6 linked regions of the Ovis aries genome follow. The protein of the gene in region 1 interacts with the protein of each later gene in a pairwise test. Links are inferred from orthologs where the notes say so. Each region holds a gene or a part of one and is shown on either strand. Other genes may lie near its edges. The genes, in order: ZBTB9, LASP1, EHHADH, DTNB, EIF4E2 and PIN4.

The links.
Region 2: the proteins of ZBTB9 (region 1) and LASP1 interact in binary tests that used the Homo sapiens proteins (3 or more experiments, as listed by UniProt). The two-hybrid records come from large-scale screens. The link is inferred for Ovis aries from reciprocal best matches to the Homo sapiens genes ZBTB9 and LASP1.
Region 3: the proteins of ZBTB9 (region 1) and EHHADH interact in binary tests that used the Homo sapiens proteins (3 or more experiments, as listed by UniProt). The two-hybrid records come from large-scale screens. The link is inferred for Ovis aries from reciprocal best matches to the Homo sapiens genes ZBTB9 and EHHADH.
Region 4: the proteins of ZBTB9 (region 1) and DTNB interact in binary tests that used the Homo sapiens proteins (3 or more experiments, as listed by UniProt). The two-hybrid records come from large-scale screens. The link is inferred for Ovis aries from reciprocal best matches to the Homo sapiens genes ZBTB9 and DTNB.
Region 5: the proteins of ZBTB9 (region 1) and EIF4E2 interact in binary tests that used the Homo sapiens proteins (3 or more experiments, as listed by UniProt). The two-hybrid records come from large-scale screens. The link is inferred for Ovis aries from reciprocal best matches to the Homo sapiens genes ZBTB9 and EIF4E2.
Region 6: the proteins of ZBTB9 (region 1) and PIN4 interact in binary tests that used the Homo sapiens proteins (3 or more experiments, as listed by UniProt). The two-hybrid records come from large-scale screens. The link is inferred for Ovis aries from reciprocal best matches to the Homo sapiens genes ZBTB9 and PIN4.

Annotation. Positions count from the first base shown.
Region 1 is NC_056073.1:7,781,831-7,785,809, forward strand, and holds the start of ZBTB9 (zinc finger and BTB domain-containing protein 9), read left to right. Parts: upstream 1-1,179; 5' UTR 1,180-1,321; exon of another isoform or gene 1,322-1,428; intron 1,429-1,608; exon of another isoform or gene 1,609-1,683; 5' UTR 1,684-1,689; coding exon 1,690-3,078; 3' UTR 3,079-3,979. UniProt on the Homo sapiens protein: May be involved in transcriptional regulation.
Region 2 is NC_056064.1:39,207,227-39,211,194, forward strand, and holds the start of LASP1 (LIM and SH3 domain protein 1), read left to right. Parts: upstream 1-1,168; 5' UTR 1,169-1,298; coding exon 1,299-1,367; intron 1,368-3,968. UniProt on the Homo sapiens protein: Plays an important role in the regulation of dynamic actin-based, cytoskeletal activities.
Region 3 is NC_056054.1:202,710,306-202,713,805, forward strand, and holds part of EHHADH (peroxisomal bifunctional enzyme), read left to right. Parts: intron 1-194; coding exon 195-536; intron 537-3,500. UniProt on the Homo sapiens protein: Peroxisomal trifunctional enzyme possessing 2-enoyl-CoA hydratase, 3-hydroxyacyl-CoA dehydrogenase, and delta 3, delta 2-enoyl-CoA isomerase activities. Catalyzes two of the four reactions of the long chain fatty acids peroxisomal beta-oxidation pathway.
Region 4 is NC_056056.1:32,798,221-32,801,720, forward strand, and holds part of DTNB (dystrobrevin beta), read right to left. Parts: intron 2,251-3,500; coding exon 2,091-2,250; intron 1,294-2,090; coding exon 1,204-1,293; coding exon of another isoform or gene 1,124-1,203; exon of another isoform or gene 1-1,123.
Region 5 is NC_056055.1:234,170,836-234,174,335, forward strand, and holds part of EIF4E2 (eukaryotic translation initiation factor 4E type 2), read left to right. Parts: intron 1-3,302; coding exon 3,303-3,407; intron 3,408-3,500. UniProt on the Homo sapiens protein: Recognizes and binds the 7-methylguanosine-containing mRNA cap during an early step in the initiation. Acts as a repressor of translation initiation.
Region 6 is NC_056080.1:64,766,881-64,771,116, forward strand, and holds the start of PIN4 (peptidyl-prolyl cis-trans isomerase NIMA-interacting 4), read left to right. Parts: upstream 1-1,436; 5' UTR 1,437-1,489; coding exon 1,490-1,532; intron 1,533-3,984; coding exon 3,985-4,058; intron 4,059-4,236.

The sequences.
Region 1 (3,979 bases):
ATATGTGAAATTTTATCCCTGTGCCCTTCCTTGCTTTCCCAACCTCAGACCCTACCCCTGGACCTCCTTTCCTCTCTTCTTTGGCTGTTGTAATTATCTGGGATTTGTACTGTACATATCCGGGGTGTGTGTGTGTGGGCTGGGGGCAACCCCTCTGTACAGCGCTTCCTGGCCCCCTCCCCACCACGATTCCCTCTCCCCCAATAAGGGTAGGGAGATGTTCTTCCTACCTGTTTTATTTTGTTTTCTCGTTCTCCCTCCCCACCCCACCCCACCCCCAGCCTACTCTCTCCCCCACCACTGCCCCTTCCACTCCCAGCCCCATTTCCTTTTTTTCTGGAGTGTGTGGTGAAACAGAAAAATCATGTTTAATAAACGGAGATTGTTCTTTTACCGCGGTGCTGACTTTCCTAGTCTCGGACCTCCCGGAGGATCAGCATGGTGACAGGAACTGCTTTTTGAGGAAGCTGACAGCTTGGGAGAAATTCTGTATCCTTGTGTGACGCCATAGTCTTGGCCCTAGAATATCGCTCTCCCAACTAGCAAGATTGTTTTGAGTAGGGGTTTTTGCACAGGCCAAATTTCCCCCATGTGTCTCACCATTGCGCCACTTAACCCCAAGAGAAAAGAGGTTAAGGAACAGCAGCAGTATCTGATAAAAAATAAGTGTACATCTACATGTCCCTTAAAAGTAATTACCTAGAAGAGAAGATTATTTCATTGTTGGTTAAAGTGCTCCCGTACGGAACGGAGGAAAGAACTTGGTGCCTCAGCCTTGTGGAGTCGGCCCCTGAGCCAGCACTTGCCGTCTCGGCTTCCCCTGAGGAAAGGATGGGAACTCCTACCTCGCTGGTGGCGGGTCGGGGGAGGGGGCGTGGGATAGAAGGTGATATGAACAATACCTAATACGCTAGGTGTCCTCTTAATCTCAGCACCCATCGGGGGCAGGCGTTACATTTAATCACTGGCACGGCTCACTGGTGGCACCCTCGGTACCGCCTGCGCATTCTCATCCCCTCTGCGGCCCCAGCCGGGTGTACTGCCTCCCGCCAGGACCGCCTTCTCGCCGGCATGACCAATCGACGTGAGGCTTGTAGGCCGGCGCCCTCCGATTGGCTGCCTCCCTGGCCCCGCCCAACTCCCCGGGGGTCCGCTTCCGGCGGGGAGGAGGCGGCTTCCGGCCGAGGCGGCGCGGTTGCTGCAGAGCCGCTCTGGACGCAGGACCGCGTGTGTACCCGTGGGGGCGTGGCGACAGGAAGGGCCAAGTGGCTGGCGCTCGCGGTCCCCGGGTACCTGCCAGGGAGTTGGACTCTGCGGGCACGTGAGTTGGGGAGCGGAACGGTGGGAAGAAGCCGACCGGGCCGGCGGGATCCGGCTCGCGGCTGAAGGACCTCCTCCTCGCCACAGGCCCTTCAAGTTCAATCCCCGGTTGGTGTTTTGTTGTGGTTTGTTTTCGTTTTCTTGGCGGGGGAGTGTGTGGGACTGTTCTGCCCGAACCACCGGCTACCGAAAAGTTCCACACGTTGGGGTGCAGCGGAGGCGGACGTTGCTTGGGGAGATACGATTGTCTTTATCCACAGCTTCTGTGACCCCTTCTTTCCTCCACAGCCCTCGTCGCGCAGGGGCTCTCCCCCGCCCTCTCACCTCCTGTACCCGACCCTCTGGGATCTCTTTCTTCCCCAGGAGGCCATGGATACCTCGACGCCTTTGCCTCCTGTAGCCCCCTCCCCAGCCTGCAACCCAGCCCCACGGACGATCCAGATCGAGTTCCCTCAGCACAGTTCTTTGCTGCTGGAGGCCCTGAACCGCCACAGGCTGGAGGGAAAGTTCTGTGACGTCTCTCTCCTGGTGCAGGGCCGCGAACTGAGGGCCCACAAAGCAGTGTTGGCCGCCGCTTCTCCTTACTTCCACGACAAACTACTTCTGGGGGATGCACCGCGTCTCACCCTACCCAGCGTTATCGAAGCCGATGCCTTCGAGGGGCTGCTCCAGCTCATTTATTCGGGGCACCTCCGTCTGCCCCTGGATGCTCTCCCTGCACACCTTCTTGTGGCCAGTGGCCTGCAGATGTGGCAAGTGGTAGATCAGTGCTCAGAGATCCTTAGAGAACTGGAAAACGCAGGTGGTGGGATTTCGTCCCGAGGAGTAGCCCCTTTCCACACACTTCTTTCCACCACAGGAGGCTGGTCCATCCGCTCTTCTCCTTTCCAGACCCCGGCACAGTCTTCTGCTTCTAACCAGAGCTCGATTGGAGGGGAGGGGAGTGAACTGGGAGATATATTACAGCTTCAGGTTGAAGAGGAAGATGAGGAAGAAGATGAGGAGGACCAAGGGTCAGCAGCACCCTGTCAGACTCCTCAGCCTCAGAGAGGATCAGGGAGTTTTCCTCCCCCTCCTGTATCCTACCCCCTGCCCACATCCACTATTCCTTGCAGAGTTCCAGAGGGCGAGAGTGCCCCACCTGAGCCTCCTGCTCCTCATACTGCATTGCCCCCCAAAATCTTCTACATCAAGCAGGAACCCTTTGAGTCCAAGGAGGAGATAGCTGGAGGCGGAAGTCAGTCTGTAGGAGCAAAGGAGGAGACCAAAGTGTTTCCAGCAGGGAACACTGAAGAGAATGGACAACTAGGGTTCCTGCTGCCCTCAGGAGCAGGGACAACATCTGGAGGAGGTGATCCATCCTGGAAACCAGTGGATCTTCATGGGAATGAAATCCTATCAGGGGGTGGGGGACCTGGGGGAGTAGGGCAGGCTGTGCATGGGCCTGTGAAGCTAGGTGGCGCTCCCCCTGCAGATGGAAAACGCTTTGGTTGTTTGTGTGGGAAACGCTTTGCAGTGAAGCCAAAGCGTGACCGGCACATCATGCTGACATTCAGCCTTCGACCCTTTGGCTGTGGCATCTGCAACAAGCGTTTCAAGCTGAAGCACCACCTGACAGAGCATATGAAGACGCATGCTGGAGCCCTACATGCCTGTCCTCACTGTGGTCGCCGGTTCAGAGTCCATGCCTGTTTCCTTCGCCATAGGGACCTCTGCAAGGGTCAGGGCTGGGCCACTGCTCACTGGACTTACAAGTGATTGCTAAGGCCATATGCTAACTTTCAGGACAAGGGAGCCACTACTGCTGATGGATACTTATTACCGCTCACTACCACAGTACCCTAATCCTGTATCTTGATGTTGGTGTTGGTGGTTTTTTCTTGGCCATACCTCGTAGCATGCCACCAGGGATTGAACCTGCACCCCTGCAGTAGACAGTGCAGAGTCCTAACCACTGGACTAGCAGCAACGTCATATCTTGTTAGTTATTCCACAAGGATAGATATATTATGGATCTCTTCTTGGATGTGGGCCTCAACCTGACAGATTTGAAAACTTGATTTCTCATCTCCAGGTTTTTGCTAACTATCCTCCGGGAGACTGGTTTACAGGCCCTAGATATACTGATCAGTTGCCTGTAATCGATCCTTTCATACAGGAAACTGGATTAAATTTCAGATTAGAAGTTTTATTTGATGAGAGAGGAGTTAGAGCAAGAAAAATTATGATAAATGTTTAATTCAGTCTCTATGAGAAGTTAAGGGAGCTGGTCTCCATCTAGAGATGTGTTTGATTCAGAGTTCTAGTAATCCAGAGACTAAGCTCTAAGCTTTACTTTTCCCTCATCATTGCTGAAATTTTATGAGTAAAGGTCTTATATACTTTTCTTTTGTTATGATTTTCTGGAAACCCTTCAGTCTATAAATTACTTTCTCACCAGTAGGTACTTTTTCAACACCTTTATTTTGTATGTTGTAGTTGAGCGCTTTAACAAATTGAGAATTCCATGAGTCACTTAGAACCCTCTTTAATAGAGGTATTCCCTCCACAGTCTGTGCCTCTTGTCTACCTTTGACCACCACTTATCACTCATATTGATCACAGGGACTGAAGTGTGATCAGTGAACTCAGGAGATGGCCATTGACCTAAAAATAAAAT
Region 2 (3,968 bases), on another chromosome or scaffold:
TGGGTTTTCTTCTCCAGACCCACCCCTACCCAAAATGAAACACCAAGTTGGGGGAATCTTGCCTCCTGAACCAGCGCCTGGAACCGCCTTACACGACTGCGGCTGCCGCAGAAATCCCGGTACCTCCCGCATGGGTCGTGGGGACCTGAAGTTTTTGTACATGATTTGTTCCTGTACCCACCCCCTCCTGCTGCTGAGTACGAAGTCAAACCGAAAGCCTTCCGTTAAGGTTGGAGAATGAGGAAGGAATTTTAAAATAGCTTTTCTCTATTTCTCTAACCTAGGACCCGAGGTTAAAATATGAATCAAAAAGGAAATAATTATACTAGACAAAAATTAGGAAAAAACCGCCGAGGGGGCACCCGGATTTGAACCAGGGACCTCTTGATCTGCAGTCAAATGCTCTACCACTGAGCTATACCCCCACGCCGCGCCTTGGCTTGGATGCGGCTCTTTTGGGTGTTAAGACACTGCTAAAGGTGAACAGTAAGGGTAGGTAAGGAGAAAGAAACGCAAGAGAAAAAGGGATCGAGCGCAAAGCAGAAGCTCGCTGGATTCGGGGAACTACTGGAAAGCTGCACGGCAGAGGCGCGGGGACGCAAGAATTAACCCGGTCTGCGAGGGACTGAGTCCTGCAGGGAGGGACGGGTTCCGCCTTACAAATTGTGGGAGAGGATGTTGCAGGGCATGGCTAACATCTTAGGGGCGGGGCAGGGAGGGTTCCCGTAGATCCGCGGATTTCTCGCCAGGTACCGACGGGTACAAAGGAAATCCCCAAACCTGACGAATCTGGTTGGGTGTTCGAGTGGGTTCGAACCCCACCCTGGGCGGTTGCGAGGGGCTCGCCGGCCCTGCAGCCCAGGTGCCCAGATGTGCCACCGGATCGCCCCCGCCCCGCCTCCAGCGGCGGAAGAGCCCTGGGCAAGGTCGCCTGTTAGCGCCTGGCCTCCGGGCGCATTCCAGGGCCCTTTCTGCTTGCGAGCTCACCTAGGCGCGTACCGCTGGGCGCGCGGTCCTCCCTGGAACCCGCCCCCACGCAGTCCCACGTAGCCTGGAGAGCGCGCCTCGCCGCGCGCGCCCCTGCCCGCGCCCGCGGCGCGTCCCCGCCCCGGTACAGCCCCTCCTCCCCGCTGTGTTTATTAGGGGAAGGAGGGCGGGGGCGGAGGCCAGTTCCCTAGCTCAAGCAGCCGTCGCTGTCGCCTGTGCAGTTGAGGCCGCGGCCGTCTCCCGCCAGCTCGCTCCGGGGAAAGAGAACGCGCGCGAGCTCGGGCGTCCTCGCCCCAGCCTTTCCCGGAGCCATGAATCCTAACTGCGCTCGGTGCAGCAAGATCGTGTACCCCACGGAGAAGGTGAACTGTCTGGATAAGGTGAGACTCGGGACTGGGAGACGCGTCTTTGCAATCCCCGAGCTCCAGATCGGAGGAGGAGAGCGGGGCTGGGTCTCTGCCGCCCCGTTACCGCGATCCCGGGAGGAGGAAAGGTGGGTGGTGTCATGGGGCGTGAGGGACGGACCCCAGTCTGGAAACCAGGAGATCTGGGGCGAGGAAAGGAGTCCACGCGTGGCGGGCAGCCACTACTGGAGAGGAGTGGGCTCGGTGCCCGGGGGTGGAGAAGCCGGGCCCCGGAGTGGGGGTGGGGGGAGTGAGGGAAGGTTAGGGGTGCAGTCCCGCCCCCTAGGGCCGGGAGAGTGAGAGCAGACGGCCGCTCCCTCTCCCCGCCTCGCCGAGCGCCAAGTAGGCGGAAGCGCTGGGCGCTGGGGGAGGGGGCGGCGGGGGGGCGGGGCAGAGGTTGGGGCCCCTGCTAAGCGGTCCGCTCCGGCGGCTACTGGCCCGGCTTCCTGGCTTGGAGACTGGAGGGTGGGGGCCGTCAGCGGGCAAGTGTTGCGTCTGGTGAACTGGCCTTCGGATAAGGACCCGAGCCCCATTGAGAGAGCCCGTTTTTCGGACGACCTGCAGCCCTCTTGGTGGTTCAGCGGTTAATGGGCTAGCCTGAGTCCTCCATAGCTTCCCAGCCCCCACCTCAAATTAGAAGCCAACTCCCAGCGTTGGTCCGCCCAGCCGGACCCGGGTGGGGTCGCTTGCTGGAGTAGGGTGGTGGGGGGTTGCTTCACTGAGATCTCCCGAAATTGTGTTCAGAGGCTGAGTCCACCCTGTAGAACAAAGAGCTAACTTTTCAGAGCAGGTTTCCCCAATGGAGGGTGGGGTTGGCTAAGTTCAGGGGGAGCCAAGAAAAGGGGGGAGATGTTGGGGGAAAGGGAAGGTGGCCTTCTGGAAATTCACTGTCCCCTGGGGGCCCTTAGGCGTCTTCCTCCCCCCCCACCCCCATCATGCTGGACTCGTTCATCTGGTTGCCATTATACTTTTTGAAGGGGGGCGGAGAGTGGAACTGGGTATTTCCTGCAGTTTGGGGTAGGATCCGGACCTCTTTTAATCTAAGATCCTAAGGCAATCCATCTTCCCTCTCATTCCCTCCTCGGTCTGGAGGAGAGGCCTCTAGGATTTTGTCCCCTTCTTCATCATGCCTTTCATTCACCTCCTAAAGCTGCCCCCCTGTCCACACATTCCCTCTTTCCCATCTGGACTGGCCAGGGGTTGGGGGCCCATGGGATGGAAGAGGGTGCAGGGCCCACCTGGAGTCAGATATTTTTTGTGAGGGGGGAAAGGGTCGTTCCTTGGATTCTTTTGTCTTTCCCCTCCTTAGGGTTGGAGCTTCCTCAGTAACCTTTGGCCTCTGAGTCAGGGTGAGGGGGTGGGGTTCCATGGTTCTGAGATCATTTTGATACTGCTCTTGGAGGAACGGGTCATGCGGGGCCGCTGCTGTTTCAGTCTTCTCTCCTGGGCCTGGCTGGGCAGGAGGAGAGAAAGGCCATGTTATGGTGCAGTGAATGTGGGTGCTGACCTTCCCAAAGACCATGCGGGAGGGCAGGACTTGAGCCTGGGGGCAGGAGCTGAGAGCTCTCTGGCCTTGCACACTGGTGTTTCTGCTCTTCCCTGGTGGGAGGGATTTTGGCCTCTGCGTCTTGAGTTCCTTGTGCTCCCCTTCTGCACAGTCATGAACTGGGTAGAGGCAATGGCCACTTTCCACCCACATAAGGCGGAAGCAGTGTCTGCTGGAAGGACACTAGCCTGGGCGTTGGAACACTTGCTCCTAGTTCCAGGTCCGCTCACCACCAGCTCTGTGAATGGCTCCAGGCCTCAGTGTTCAGAGTCTATCAGATGGGTGTGATGATGTCATTTCCTTGAAGGTGGGGAAGTGCACCCGAGTGCCTGTCACAGTGCCTGGAAGGGGATGTGGTATAGGCTGTGCGCCCTCTTCTTTTCTGGGGTACTCTGTCCAGCCCCATACCTGGCTTTCCCTGTAAAGACCTTTGGTGTCTGAGGGGAGGGTGCAGCCCCTTTAAGGCGCCCTCCCCATCTGTTTTCTTCCCCTCTCTGGAAGAGGACATTCAGGTGGTGGGCACCCTGGGAAGTGAGAGTTGGCGGTTCCTCTCTCTTCCTACAGGAGGTTTCCCTGGGGAGATGTCACCCCTGCACTGAGCAGGAGGCCTGGAATATCCAGGTATTAGACTGGTTCCTCCCACCGCCCTCCAGGCAGTAAGGGCAGGCACTTAGAATGGGGACCTGACGCCTGAGGACAGATGTTCAGTCCCATAGACACAATTGCTAACCAGCTTCCCAAGACAACCCATTTACAACAGGAGAGAGTCAAATTAGACTCACCTGTTTCACTGCAATTTCCCTAGGACCCGACATGACCCAGAGCACAAGCTACATTCTTGGTGTTAGCCTTTCCTCCTCCTTGAGCCTTATCTCCCAAAGGCTTAGGTGAGTAAAAGCCACATCACCTCTGATGGCTACCCTACCGTCCACCTGCATTACCCAGCGTGTCCTCATGCTGAATAAATGTGTATGGCTGGCCACGGTGTTTGAGGTCGAGATTTGTTTCCCCAACTTATGGGATTAGAGTTG
Region 3 (3,500 bases), on another chromosome or scaffold:
GGTTCTAGATGTTGTATGGTAGAAACCAACACAACGTTGTAAAGCAATTTTCCTCCAATTAAAAAGATTTTTAAAAACAAACACATTAATTAATCATTTAATGGAAAACTATCTTAAATAGTATTTATTATTATATACGCACGAGCCTTTGATATAAGTTAACAGTTCCAAATTTTCTTTCTTTTTTCTTTTAGATCTATCTCCAGAATCCCGTAGAATCTGCAACATGCCCGTCCCGAGCTTGCCCAACATGGACGCCATTTTCAGTGAAGCGTTTCTGCAGGTGCGGAAGCGGTACCCTGGGTGGCTGTCTCCGGAGGCCTGTGTCCGAGCAGTCCAGGCTGCTGTCCAATATCCATATGACATGGGCAGCAAGAAGGAAAAGGAGCTGGGCCTGTACCTTAATACCTCAGGGCAGGCCAAGGCCCTGCAATATGCTTTCTTTGCTGAGAGGATGGCAAATAAGTGGTCCACTCCCTCCGGGGCTTCCTGGAAAACATCGTCGGGACGACCCATCTCCTCTGTTGGCGTTCTCGGTAAGAACATGAGCAATGTCACTCCCCAAATCTGCATTTGTCAAGTACTACCATTTGCTTTGGGCCACTACATGCCAGGCTCTTTGCTGAACATATCACTTTTTTAGTTAACTTAATTTTCACCCCAGCCCAAGAACTATCTTTGCATGTGAGGCTTAGAAACACTAGGCCTTCTCAACAGTGAACTAATTAAACCCAAGTCCTCTAATGCTACATCTGTGTGATTCCAGACTCTCGGCATTTTTAAACTCATTTCTGCCTCTTACATGTCCCTCATCCCTGGGTTTCCCAGCAAGATTATGATGTGTACCACATTTCAAGGTGTGGCCTGTCACTCCTATAGCTAGGGATTGGGAATGAAGGTTGTGTCTTTCTGGTCCTTGCATCCATTCACTTCTCCTGATTCAAAGCCACTATCCCCAAATTCATCTTTACCTGAAACATGGGCTTCCTTACATTTTCCCCTTGAAAATTTCTCAAACAAAATGCCTTCTTTCCTCAGAAGCTAGCTCTCCGAATGGCTTATTTGGGCCACTATCCTAAACTTCACTTAGTCTTAGTCTTGGCCCAAGAATGGCCTTGGGTGGATTCCAAATCCCCTGAAAGAGTAAGTGGAGTATGGTATGTATTAGCCTGTATACAGTCTTCTGGGAGAGGAGGTCCAAAGTTTACTAAAAGCACCAACTTTCTTAATCTTCACCAAGCTCTCTAGCACCAGTGCAGTGTGAATGAAAGAGCCTTCTCTACATTTTCTTAGTCTGAAGCTGTCTCAATGAAATTTGGAAATAAACTAGTACGTCTTCAACACAAACATGCTGTGCTCCTTGTAGCACTGACTCTGTTCACTTGTGATTTTTTAAGGAGCTGGATAAATAGTATGGCAAAGAACTGATTGTACCTTTTTATATTCCTTCAGCAGCACTGATATTTGTTTCTAGTTATGTATGTACCTGTTTCTTCTTTCCTGTATTCCTTCAAGCCAAGAAAAATTAATGCAGAATAATAGTAAAAACTCTTTATCAGTATCGTGTTTGTCAACCATCATTTGAGAATTTCCGTTTCCTTATCGTGAGCTTTTTAAAAAGACTTCAGGTTTGTGTCTGGCATGGAATGTTTATAAGTTCAAAGTTTTTTTTTAAGTATATACCACATTGTTCTGAAAAATATTTGCAAAAGCTTTTAAAGTATGTAGAAGACAATGTGGATGAAAATAAAGTGAGAGCTGGTCATTTCCCTCTTCGTCATGTTTTTCTGCTTCCTGCTCTGCCCGCCTTGGTCTTGGTGACGCAGCCTCCCTCTGTGCCCCATGTCCTCTGGAATGCACCCACAGCCTCATCTGGTTCACAGTGGCTGTCCCTCTGTCTCCTGCCTGAAACCTGACTTACCCTGGGCACTTGCTTCTCCTGAAGCCCACTCAAGAAGGCTGTTGCTTCTTCCCACACTCCCTGGACTGCACTGCCACTTCCCACTTCCCCTCTCAGACCGTGACCCCTTTCTGGACACTCTTCCTCTGTTTTGCTGCCGTCTCCCTGCCTGCTCTATCCCTCCTCATCACTGTCCGCGCTCCCCTGCCTTGGCCCTCATTTCAGTGCCTGGCTCACGGTTATCCGCTTTGGCCCCAATCCTGCTGTCCTTTCCTTGTTGTCCTCGTCCCCTGTGTGGAGAATCCATCCAGCCCTGTTGCTTCTGGGTTCCTTCGCCTCCTCAGATCCAGTGACATTCGCCTCACTTCACTTCCGTGACCCACACTTCGGGCTTCACCCTGAACATTTCTCCACCACTGAAATGTGAACTTTTTCACTACAACCTTGTGTTTCTCCACATCCCTTTCTCAGTTATTCCAACTGCATCTGTTATGTGATAAGCTCTTTTAATCTTTACTTCCTTCTCTATTCAGTTTTCATTTCCAATCATCACTTCAGCTACTCCCTTGCCTACATCCTCAGAAGCCGTGACTCGTTGTCCTTTCATTGGGCCCCCAGGAAAACCCCAGCCCTGATGAGCCCAGGTTTGCGCCTCAGTGAGCCTGTGCTCTCAGAGTGGGTCGGCACCCCTGCAAGTCCACTTTCTTTCACCTCGCCTGAGCTCTCAGGTCTGTCGGAAGGGGAGACGACTGCTGTGGACTAGACACTGAAGAGCCAGCAGTCAAAGCATCCCTCATCCTTTATTTGCTTTGAGTAGAAGGGATTCTTGACGATGTTTAATTCCAGGGTAGTTAAAGGCAGTGACTTGGTCCAGGAACAGGACTCCTGGTCCCTGTCTGTGTGTGTTTAGTGAGGAAAATTTAGGAAACTAAATTCAATATGCATACAGTATTGACCTATGAAAACATAATTACCAACAGTGAAAAGCTTGGTCTTTCAGCCCTACTTTCTTGAGAACTTTGAGACCACAAGGTTGTGAGAAGTTAGTGAAGAACTCTTTGAAGGAAACAGTTACAGGTTTCGTGTATATTTTTAGTGATTAAATGAAAAAATATCAGTTTATAGAAATGAAGGTCTAAAATAATAGCTGATACTTCTCCCCCCCCCCCCCCCCCCCCGCCCCTGCAACAAGACATTGTTTATTAATCAGAAGAGCAGCAAGGATAATTCTGCGTTAGGTTAAAAGCTGCATTTCAAGGGCCCAAGTTCAGGCTTCCCTGGTGGTTCAGTGGTAAAGAATCCACTTGCCAATGCAGGGAATGTAGGTTCGCTTCCTGGTCTGGGACAATCCCATGAGAGAAGCTAAGCCCCTGCACCACAACTACGGAGCCTGTGCTCTAGATTCTAGGAACTGCAACTATTGAGCAATGCTCTAAAGCCTGTGCTCCACAGCAAGAGAAGCCACCACAGTGAGAAGCCCGTGCACCACAGCTAGAGAACAGCTCTCACTCACTGCAACTAGAGAAAAGCCCACACAAAGCAATGAAAACCCAGCATAGCCACAAATAAGTAAACAAAAATATATTGAAAAAAAGGTCCA
Region 4 (3,500 bases), on another chromosome or scaffold:
TTCTAAAAGGGATTGAGAAATGGTACCAGAATGGGGACAGTGTTACCATCCTGTTCCCTCAACAGGAGAACTGACATCTTATCAACTGTACTGGAAACACCAACCTTATCCCTTTCTAAACAAAAACAGCAGATCTGAGAGCAAAGCCATTGGCCAGACCTCAGCCTGTCTCATGACAACTCTAAAAGTGTATGGTTTCACCTATAAAGGTCTGAAGGACTACTCAAGGCTTGCCTTCCCTAAGTGTATGTATGGATGATTTCAATGTATTATGTTTGAGTAAGTACGTGTGTCTGAATAGCCCATGGAAAAACTGCTTTATATCTTTACTCAACAACCTTGTTAAGCTACTTCAAGGTATTTAAAAGCACAATATTAGGTGAAAGGAAATAAAAGAGGGCCACCTGTATGAGTGACCCACAGCACTTAGGAAGGAAACCTGTTTGTTTAATATAAAATATGGGAATCTGACCATCATTAAAAAAAATTAGTGAAATATCTGGCGGCTTCAAAACTGATTCAATCATGGGAACTCTTGCAGACACGATGATATGGGAATGGCCTATTTTTTTTTCTCCCCTTCTTGGGTTTCATGGAGGGGGAAATATGCCATGAGGTAAGGGTCTTGGGAAAATCATGGGAAATAGCTGTGAGACAGACTGAGAAAGAAGTCATAGATAAGACTGAACATGTGGAGTGGAGGAAGCACCAGACTCAGGTCATGAACCTCCAGGGAAACCAGAGCCTCGTCACGGACAAAAGGAAAGAATAGGGTTTCAAAACCAAATCAAACAGGAGAAGCAGAAAGGCAGCGGGAGGAAGTCCACAAGCTTTTGTGGCTGATTCGGTTCCCCGTCGTCCAGGAAAGCTCCGAGCGAGACAGCCGAGCAGGCCTAGGGAGAGAGCAGCTGTGGAGGAAGTCCAGGTGGAAGACACAGTAAGTGAGGAAGGGGCCCGATGGAACCAAGTTCCTTTAAAGTCAGAACTGTGTCTGGTCCACAAGGCGTGCTCTTAAGAGAAACTTTAAGTGTGTGACCACGTGTGGGAGACAGGCTCACAGGGGAAGGCATCCAGAGAGTTCCTGGAAAGCAAGGAGGCCGCCCGGTGAAATGAGGGAGGCGCTTTACCACACAGCGGGTGGGTGGCAAGGAAGGCAGGGGCAAGGATGGAGGTGGGAGGCCGGGTGGGAGCTCTGGGCGTCACCTGAGTGGAGCTCCTTCACCAGGGACGACATGGTGTTGGTGATGGAGTCGGCAGCCACCAGCAGGTCATTGCGGAGGTTTCTCCTCGTACCTGAGGAGAGGCAGAGCAGATGGCGATGCCTGGTGGGTAGGTGGGTGATGGTGATGGGGGTGGGGGAGACAGAGCTGAGCAGATGCCTCAGTCGGCCGGCCCCGGGACTTAGTGTGGACTCCTAAGGGAAGATGGGCCGAGCAGCTCCGCCTGCTCCCAGGCATTGGTGCCCAAAGCCGTGGTTCTCCTCCCTCTTCCCTTTGCGAAGGCAGGACCCTGTCACCTCCACGCTTCTCAGCCACAATCAAAGAGGTGGACTGCAGAACAAACCCTCGGCCAGGACTTACTCTCAGCTCCACCTCCCTGCTCTCGTCTCTGCCCCGAGACAAGACAAGACTTCCTGAGCAGCCTCGTCTTCCACCCACTACAGAACACGGCAGGCCATTAACTCCACAGACAAGGTGCCTTCAGCAAGGTCAGATTCAGAGTTCTAGACTCCTTCTCCTCCTTGCTCTAAACACTTTGCAGGCCAAGCACTCAACTTTGGGAATGATTCCATCCAACTCCTCTGGAGGAGGCAAAGCCCAATGAACAAGGCACTTCCCACAACCCTCCTCAAAAAGAGCACAGAAACCCAGAAGGCCTGGCCCTCGCACACATACAAGCCTGCAGACCTCCCGCTGCAGACCAGCCCATCGAATGAGAAGGGGCCAGCACGACACTTGTTTTTACTGTACATGAAAATCTGATCATTGAAAGCTAAGCACACAAAAGAAAACGGGGAGAACCACAGCAGAAGTCTTGTCCATGTTTCCAAACCCCTTTAGCGCTTCATTTTCCTCTGCTCCCGAACTCACCTTGGGCGAAGGCCTCCTGCATGTCCCCGCTGACTCCACTCAGCGGGTCCTGCGGGCAGTGGGTGGGGGTGGAGCCGGCGGAGGTGGAGCGCACGGGCATGGGTATGGGGCGTCCGCCTCCGTGAGTGGGCGATGTATGCGGTGATCCTGTGGCCTGAGCCTGGGAGAATCAAAGAGAGAAAGCCTGTCATCTCCTGTGCCTTAACTCTTTGAGGAAGGGGCAAGTGCTTTTTCTCAGTCAACCTGAGCCAACCTAGGGCTTCAGTTCCGTGGTGCAATGCACTGCATGATCAGATTTGAAAGAAAAGAGTCAGGCTGCCTCCAGGACTGGAGAGAGGAAGCAAAGGAGCGGGGAAACAAAAAGGGAGAAGGGGAGAGAACAAGGGGGAGGAGGAGACAAGGCAGTGAGAACACTGCAGAATAAACTAAAAGCGGAGGGAAAGTGGAGGCGTACTCAGGGAGGGAGGGTAGAAGGGCCTTCCAGGTGGACAGATGGAGCGGGGTAGCTGGTGGAGGATTTGGGAGGGGCTGGGGTCACAGCTGGGAAATAACACTCAAACATCTTTCATTTCTGTTTGCAAACACATTCATGTGCATCATCTCATTTGAGCCTCATAAGGACTCGAGTAGTATCCATTTTAGAGAAGAAAGACAAGGATGAAGAGAGTAAGAGCTCTGTGTCAGGGCTGCACAGCTTGTCAGCGGGAGATGCTGGAACAAGCCCTTCTGCTCCCAGGGCAATGACATGCGCTTTGCACCTCTGCAGCTGCTGGGCTGCAGGGAACGTGCCTGATGAGTTTGCGGGTCAGGAGCCCAGCCGCAGGCAGTTCTCAGAAGCCGAGTCATCTGGCCTGTCATGCTGCCCTCGTCAAGCACATAGTGCAGTCTTCTTTGAGCCATTCTGTGGGGACTGGGTGAGAATGGACACACGTTTACTTGGACACTGAGCCTTCCGTGGGAAGGCTCTGGTGCAGTTTTGGAGAAAGCTGGGAGCCATGGGATAAAAGCTTTAAAACTCCAGTTAAAGGGAGTCCGCTGAGATTTGGGCTCTGCGGCTCTTTAGAGGAAGGGCAACTGAGGGTGGCATAAAGACTAGGGTTCTCTTTGGAAGCAAGACTGGGAAAATATAAGCCAAAGTGTGCCAATAAGTTCAAAGGAAGATAATTATCTTTGGGGAGCTGGCTCAGAAACCCCACATACAGAAAGAATCAGCTGCCCCGAACAGGCTGACAGGGGGCCTCAGCTCAGCTTCACCCAATGTGAGCGCTGGACCGAGCAGAAGTGGTCTGTTTTCCATCATTCTTGCTCTGATTCGTGTCTGTGTATTTTAATCTGAGAAACTTGAAAAATACAAGGCAAGCTTAAAAGTACAACGTAACAGACCATTCAAATTGATATTTAATATTGTGT
Region 5 (3,500 bases), on another chromosome or scaffold:
TTTATCTGTTTATTCATCAGATATGCATATATAATGATAATCACATCATCTGACTATGTTGAGTTGATATTTCAGCCACAAGCAAAGATCTTGTATTAGTTGGCCTGTGCTGTCTTATTACTGTTAAATTTAGACTTTTTTGAATTATTAAAAGTAACTGTGCACTGGTACATATTTGGTTCAAGAAAAGTTTGTTGAATGAATTTGGGGCATAATAGGGTTCTAAAATGACTAAAAAACCTTGCCCTTAGGGAAATAAGACATGCCCAGGAATTTCTAATATAGGGAGGCAGTTTAGGAGGTGCATAAATAGCTAGAGTGCTCTTGCAGTTCAGAGTAAAGGGATTCATTTCAGCCTGGAGAAGCCTCTTTTGAAGGGAGATGGGTTTAAGATTGAATTCAGAAAATTTGAACAAGTGATAAGATGAAGGAATTCTTGGAAGAGAGAACAGTAGAATTAAAAAAACTATCCATGTCATCCTAACATTCCTGAATCCATTAAAATTTTGATAGCTTGCTAGACATTTCAGGTAAAATGACAGCCATTATGTTATGAACAACTGATTAAGCACTTAGGATCAGAGAAGAAACTGAACTCTGGGGAGTCAGTTTTCATTCAGGATTTTGTTCAGTTATTTTAGCATAGTTGTAACTATTTCTAGCGTTTTTCTTTCCCGCTTAAAGAAAGCATGTGTGAATGTTCCCAGCTTGTACAAGGAGAGCTTTTGTTTTCTTTGGACATATGTGCTAAGTTGAACAGTTTTATCATCAACATCATCTTGGGTTAATGCTGCTTTATACTCACCAATGCATGTAAGTCAAGGCATTGGGAAGTGTCCCACAATATTCCTCACAGAAAAGTAATTACATTTTGAAACTAATGATGCTAAAGTAGTATTTCCCACTAGTCCTCGATCCTAGTATTTGACAGCAAATGGCAACCCACTCCAGTACTCTTGCCTGGAGAAGCCCATGGAGGGAGGAGCCGGTAGGCTACTAGTCCATGGGGTCGCAAAGAGTCGGACATGACTGAGCGACTTCACTTTCACTTCAGAAGTTCTTGAGGTGACTAAGAAAACTATATCTTGAAATGAAAAAAGCGTTGGACATTCTGCTGCTTGACTGTGAGCTGGGGCAAGTTCTGAAACCGTTTTCTCAATTATAAAGCAAAGAAAGTAGTTGAGATGATTTCTAAAGTCTTTTCTGCATTCCATGTTCTGAATCTAAACATTTATTTTTTGGTTCCAGTTGAAAGTTTTAAAAATGAAAGTTGCCTTAAGAGAATGAAAAAAAAAGGTTTAATACTATTTCTCAACCTGCCTATTATTTCATCTCTGTTGTGATTTGGGTTTAGAATTCTGGCTATAAGATTGTAGAGAATGGCTCTCAGATTGGTGGAGACCAAACTGTTAATAAAGCAGTGCCCCACTGGAGGATTGGGGGTGATTGGTATGCTCTGTCCCCACCACTTCTGTCAAGTCCTTATTCACAATGAGCCACAGTTTCTAGAAGGTGAGCTTCATTTCTTTGCACTGTGTTGAATTGAAGTGAAGTGAAGTCGCTCAGTCATGTCCAACTGTTTGCAACCCCATGAGCTGTAGATTACCAGGCTCCTCTGTCCATGGGATTTTCCAGGGGATCTTCCCAACCCAGGGATTGAACCTGGGTCCCCCGCATTGTAGACAGACGCTTCACCGTCTGAGCCACCAGAGAGGTCCTCCTTTGCACTGTGTTAGAGTGGGGAAAAGATTATTGCTCGTTGTATGCATAGGACCATTCACTGACCCAGATCCCTGGGTACCATTAAGCATGGCACTGGCTGAGGTGAAATGCTGAGGTGAAGTCCTGCAGATGGCTTCGTTCCTAATTTCCTTGTAACGTGAGATGTTGCCCATGTTTCTGTGCTCTAGAGGATTGAGAGGCACCGCCACTTCACACAGTCTGGGGTTTCTCCTCAGTTGCTATCCAGATCTGGGGGTGTGACCTGAATCTGTCTGCATGGTACCTGTTTTTACCTGCACATTATGGAATCTTGCTTCATGTTTATTTAGAGCCTCTTCAGCAGTTTCTTGGCAAATACCAGCTGTTTGCTTCAGACTGTTTCACATTTTTTCTTTACTTGTAAAGTGTGCACTTGACTTTCCGGTACTTTGTAGGTGTTCTCTGTGAATTGCAGAGGAATAGGAAAGTAATCAAGGGCTTCCCAATCGGGAAGCGCCACTAGGCGCTAGTGGTAAAGAACCCGCCTGCCAATGCAGGAGATGTCAGAGATGTGAATTTGATGCCTGGGGTGGGAAGATTGCCTAGAGGAAGGCATGGCAATCACGCTAGTATTCTTGTCCTGGACAATCCCATGGACAGAAGAACCTGGTGGGCTATAGTCTATAACATCCCAGAGAATTGACCAGAGAATTAACTTCAGTGAGTTAGCATGAATGCATGCTTAAAATACAGGGAAGTAATTTCTTCTTATCAAATCACTAGTGAGAAAAACAAATAGTGCGATAAATATAAATAAGCATACATTTTATAGAGAATATGTATGATTTTCTAACAGGACTGTGAAGGAGGAGCAAAGAGAAATTTTATAGCTAAGAAGAGAGACTTAAACCCTGAGTGAGGAAGCCTGCTTGGTTTTTGGACCATCTGGGCCTTAGCAAGGGCACCATGGTATGGAGTAGCCCTGCGGTTGATTCTGTCACTTAATGCTCAGTAACTGTTTCTATAGAAATAAAATGTACTTCAGTGTAGCTAATGCTGTATTTTGACAGTAAACCTCTGATCAAGAAGTGCCCAAACTTGCAGTTATAAATAAGTCATGGGCATGTACTGTAGAGCACAATGACTAGTTAATTCACAATGTTAATAATACGGTTTTTTTTTTTTTTTAAGTGATTTGGTTCAAGCTGAGGTTGTGTGGCCCTGAATATACCTCAAACCTAAGTGGTTTTTATCGTGTAAAACAAAGTCCTCCTATAGCATGTGGTGATTCTCCTGCGGCTTCCACAGGAGGATGCGTATTGACATTTTACCAACTAAGGCTCCTGGCTGAGGCTGGCATTTCTCACCTAAAGAGTTTATTCTTGTGTTGACAGTATGACACTATTCTTTTATCAAAATAGATAGTCTTCTTCCCTTCAGCATGTTGTTCTTCCCCCACAATCCCCAGAATGAACATCTGTCCTCCAAAAAGTAAAGCCTCTAGCAGAGTGTCTTCCGTGGTTATGCACTTCTCTTAAATCTCCCATTCGCTCAAAGAAAAAGAAAGTGCCTCTCTTGACTCTGCTGTGCTCTCTCTGCAGGTGGAGCAGTTCTGGAGGTTTTACAGCCACATGGTGCGTCCCGGGGACCTGACAGGCCATAGCGACTTCCATCTCTTCAAAGAAGGAATTAAACCCATGTGGGAGGTGAGAACTGAGAGCCTTAGACTGTTTTTCTGAGGAAGTTTTCTGTTTTTTGGGGTTTTTTGTTTGGTTTGGGGGTTAGTGCCAGGTGTTGGC
Region 6 (4,236 bases), on another chromosome or scaffold:
ACTACCAATCCAAACCAAGGAGTGCCTAAACTGTGCCTGTTCAGAAATGACAGCAGTAAAACAGGGGGCTGCCTGTAACGCATGAGTTCGGGGTGGCAGTCTCAGAAATACCTGATCGCTGGCAAGTAGCATCTGAAGTCCCACAAGACTCAATTCAAAAACTAAGCTCTGAGCTGGAGGACCATTCTGGCTGGCATGGGCAAGCTGAGAGAGCTATCGCATGAAGTGGAGGAAAAGCCCTGATCTTACAAAAGTCGGGAGAAGAGGGGTTGTGGATAAGGGTAAAAAGTTTGAGGATGTAAATTCAAAACTCATTCACCTTAAGCTAACACTCCACAAGCAAGTCATTGTTTTATGTGCTTTACAAACTTGTTTAATTCTCTTTACATCCTATAAAGTCAAGTCAAGTCAAGTTGCTCAGTTGTGTCCGACACGACCTCATGGACCGTAGCCTACCAGGCTCCTCCCAGTACTGGAGTGGGTTGCCATTTCCTTCTCCAGGGGATCTTCCCAACCCAGGGATCGAACCCAGGTCTCCCGCATTCCAGGCAGACGGTTTAACCTCTCAGCCACCAGGGAAGCTTACATTTCCTTCTCCAGGAAGGAACCTGGACCCAGGGATTGAACCTGTGTCTCCTACATTGCAGGCAGATTCTTAACCATTTTGAGCCACCAGGGAAGCTGCACAGGTACTAACTACAGCAAATATTTAACAGTAGTAGTGTTAGTCGCTGGAGAAGGACATGGCAACCCACTCGTGTTCTTGCCTGGAGAATCCCAGGGACAGAGGAGCCTGGTAGGAGGCCGTCTATGGGGTCGCACAGAGTCGGACACGACTGAAGCGACTTAGCAGCAGCAGCAGCAGTGTTAGTCGCTCAGTTGTGTCCGCCTCTGCCCATCATTTTCTCCTTTGAACTACTTGAGGCACTGCTTTGGGCAAATTCAGCCACTTATACAGCCTCGCTACAAGCTGTAAAATAACTAAAAGCGAAAACCTAAAACGAAGGGCAGGCCGGTGTGTATGAGTGCGCGAAAGGGGTAGGCGGCCGCCGAGGTTCTTCCGGCTATGCCTTTGTCTAATTGCCCCGCGTGATTGGCTGGAACCCCGCGCCGAGGGACTGCAGAGGCGCCCCCCAACCCCCACCCCTCCGGCTTCCGTTACGCACGCGTGGAGGAAGCGGGTAGGGCAGTCGGGGAAAGGGCGCAAAGAAGGGCGTGTGAAAGAAGCCGCAAAAAGCACAGAGGCGTAACTCCCCCCGCCCCGCCCAACCTTTGCCTCCGCCCCTCTGCCCCGGTCCGAGCTTCAGCCCCATTGGCCCAAGAGTCAAAGGACCGGGCCTGCCCCAAGATATGCCTGCTTCCGGAGCCACGGTAAGGATGGCCAATTGCGATGCCGCTTTCTGGCATATGTTTAGGACACACCGGTGGGGCCTGAAGGGGGTTTGTGCGGCAACCTAAGCAGTTGAGAGTTCAACGGCAGATTTTGGAAATGCCCCCGAAAGGAAAAAGCGGTTCTGGAAAAGGGGGAAAAGGTAGAAACCAAGAAGAAATGGGGTTGGGTGAGGAGCAAGGCGGAGGGAGCAGACCGCCGGGGTCCGGGGCGGAGGCAGCGGGTTGCCAGTGACTAGAGGACTGACCAGGAAGTGATGTTAGAAACAATCAATACAGACTTCAGTTTTTATTTAAAAGCATGGGGATTAGATGGTGGATAGAAGAGGAGAAAGGATTACAAGAAAGTTTGATTTTGTTAGTTTCTTCCGAATGGGCAAAACTTGGGAGTGAGGCTGTCATGAAGGATCCATTAGTTAGGTAAAGCTACAGGGTAGTGAAATTTGGGAAAAAAGAGGTAGAGCAGTTAGTTGACTTTGAGAAGAAGGGACATCTTAAGCTTGACGTCACAGAGATGAAGATGGATGTGGTGATAAAAAGTGGAAGGCAAGAGTAGTTTTTAAAACAGCAGGGCAAGTACTGAGTAGGGGTCTTGAGGACAGTGTTAAGCGTTTGGAATAGTCATTGGGGTGGTAAGAGGGGATGAAACACTTAAAAAAGGATTGCCCTTAGGGCTGAGAGCTTAAGATTGAAGGCTATGAATTTCTGTAGGACACAATCTGCTCAGTCATGATTTACCTAGTACCATATAACTGGCACAATACAGGATTGAGACGAGCTAAGTATAACCTGTAGCCAAGGTTGAGGTTTTGTTGGACAATGATAATAGAAGAAAAGCAACACAAGGGAATTACGAATGCCACTAGGGACACGGTTCAGATGATCAAGCATGGGATCCAGACTGGGAAGGGAAGAAGTTTGATAGCATAGGAGAACATAGGAGGATAAAGGAACTGAATGGGGGGAAGGAGGAGGTGTTTCTGTGACATTAAAGAACCTGTGTTGTGGGAGTGAGGCATGAGAAGGCTGGAAGAACAGAAAGTTGTAGCCAGAGATTGAATTAGTTGTGAGTGGCACAGTTTGATCACATGCCCCTGGGAACAGGTGGCCTGGAGTAAAAGGCATGGGTATTTGGGAGGGAGGTCTAGAAATGTGAGGTTAGGCTGTTGGATGGTTCCTCTGAATAGATAGTGAAGTCACCCAAGATTAGGGCAGTAGTGAGGATGGAAAGGAAGCCTGAAGTTGCTGCCAGAGTTCTCAGTCAGAGGGAGTGAAGGGGCATTCAGAAGATGATAGCATCCATTGGGGCAGGGGGTGGGATGACCAGAAGGCATCTTTGTTCTAGAGAAAATAAGTTTAGTGTAATAAAACTCCTTTGGCAGTAACATTTTCTTAGGCATTTGGTGGTTGGCATTTTGGATATTCAGTTTTGTGGAACATTTATTGAACAACTTTTGGGTGCTCGGCATTGGGGTTCCTAAGACAGGATGGAGTCTCCTGAATAAAATTTTAATGCGTCCCTATTACTTCTAGGATAAATTCCAAGTTCCTTAATGGGGCTCAAAGGCCCTCATGCCCTAACCCTCAGCCACCTCCCCTGGGTTCCTCTCACAGCACTCCCACTTCAGATTTGGCTTCGTCCCTAGTTTCCCCCCACATACTACACTGTTCCCCTACCCTGGAATTCTCCTCACCATTGTCCTGTCTTTGCCTGTTCAGCTCCTACTCATCCAGGAAACCTTCTTTAACTGGCTAAAATGTACCTCTGTGCTTCCACAGCCCCCTATTTATACAGCATAGCTCATCCTCCTGAAATGATCTTTTACATGATTTTACATAACGATATTCCCGAGTAGTATATGAGCCCCCTGAAGGAATGTATTATGCCATTTGGGCTTGTTCATCTTTGTATCTCCAGTGTCTGGAACTTAGTTACTTAGGAAATGTTTATGAACTGAACACTTAAACCAACAATAGTTCTTAGGAACATCAGCCTCTAACAGTAAATATGCTGCCATCAAAACAGAAACTGGCATAGTAGCAAAATGACACAGTAATAAAATGTAAAATACTGCCCATTGTGTTAATCTGAATATTGATAACTTCTTAGGAAGGTTATCAGTAGGCAATGTCATTGACTCCAGGAGTTTGGACATGAATGTATTCTTTACCCAAATATGGGTGGTAGGAAATTTGATCTTTATTTAAAATATATTCTTGGACATTTTACCTCCTATAATTGTGAGTATCCAAGTACATAGCTGCCGTGCTTATTAGAAATCTCACAAGAGCTCCAGGGTTTGCTCTTAGAAGGCAGGATTTCAAACTGGGTCTAGAGAAATCAGGCCAGGTTTTTGGTGCTCCCATTCAACTATTAGCACACTCACTTGTGTATCCATTTTCCATGAAGGGTTTTTGTAAGGCACAAATTTCTTGTTTTAAGAGGTATGTTACAGGTTAATTTCGCTTGATGTAAAGTGTCTGCAGAGTTCCCTTTTGAAGCTTGGTGCTGTGATGGAAGTATCAACTCCTATTGTGTTGAATAATAAGGTGAAAGTGTAGTTTAAATGAGTACTTGTCATCTCTTCTCTAAAGGAAAAGCAGCCTCTGGGAGTGAGAGTTCTGAGAAGAAGGCTCAGGGTCCCAAAGGTGGTGGCAATGCAGTAAAGGTGAGTTACTCTGCTCTTTTCTTTTTTTTTTTTTTTTCATTTTAAATATAAATAACATATACATCTGTTATTTTGGTACACATAAAAGGAAAAGACAGCATGCTTAACTCATCCTAAGGCTAGCCTAATACTGACAGAAGATCAAGATAACACAAAAGTGATGCTCCCTTCGGCAGCA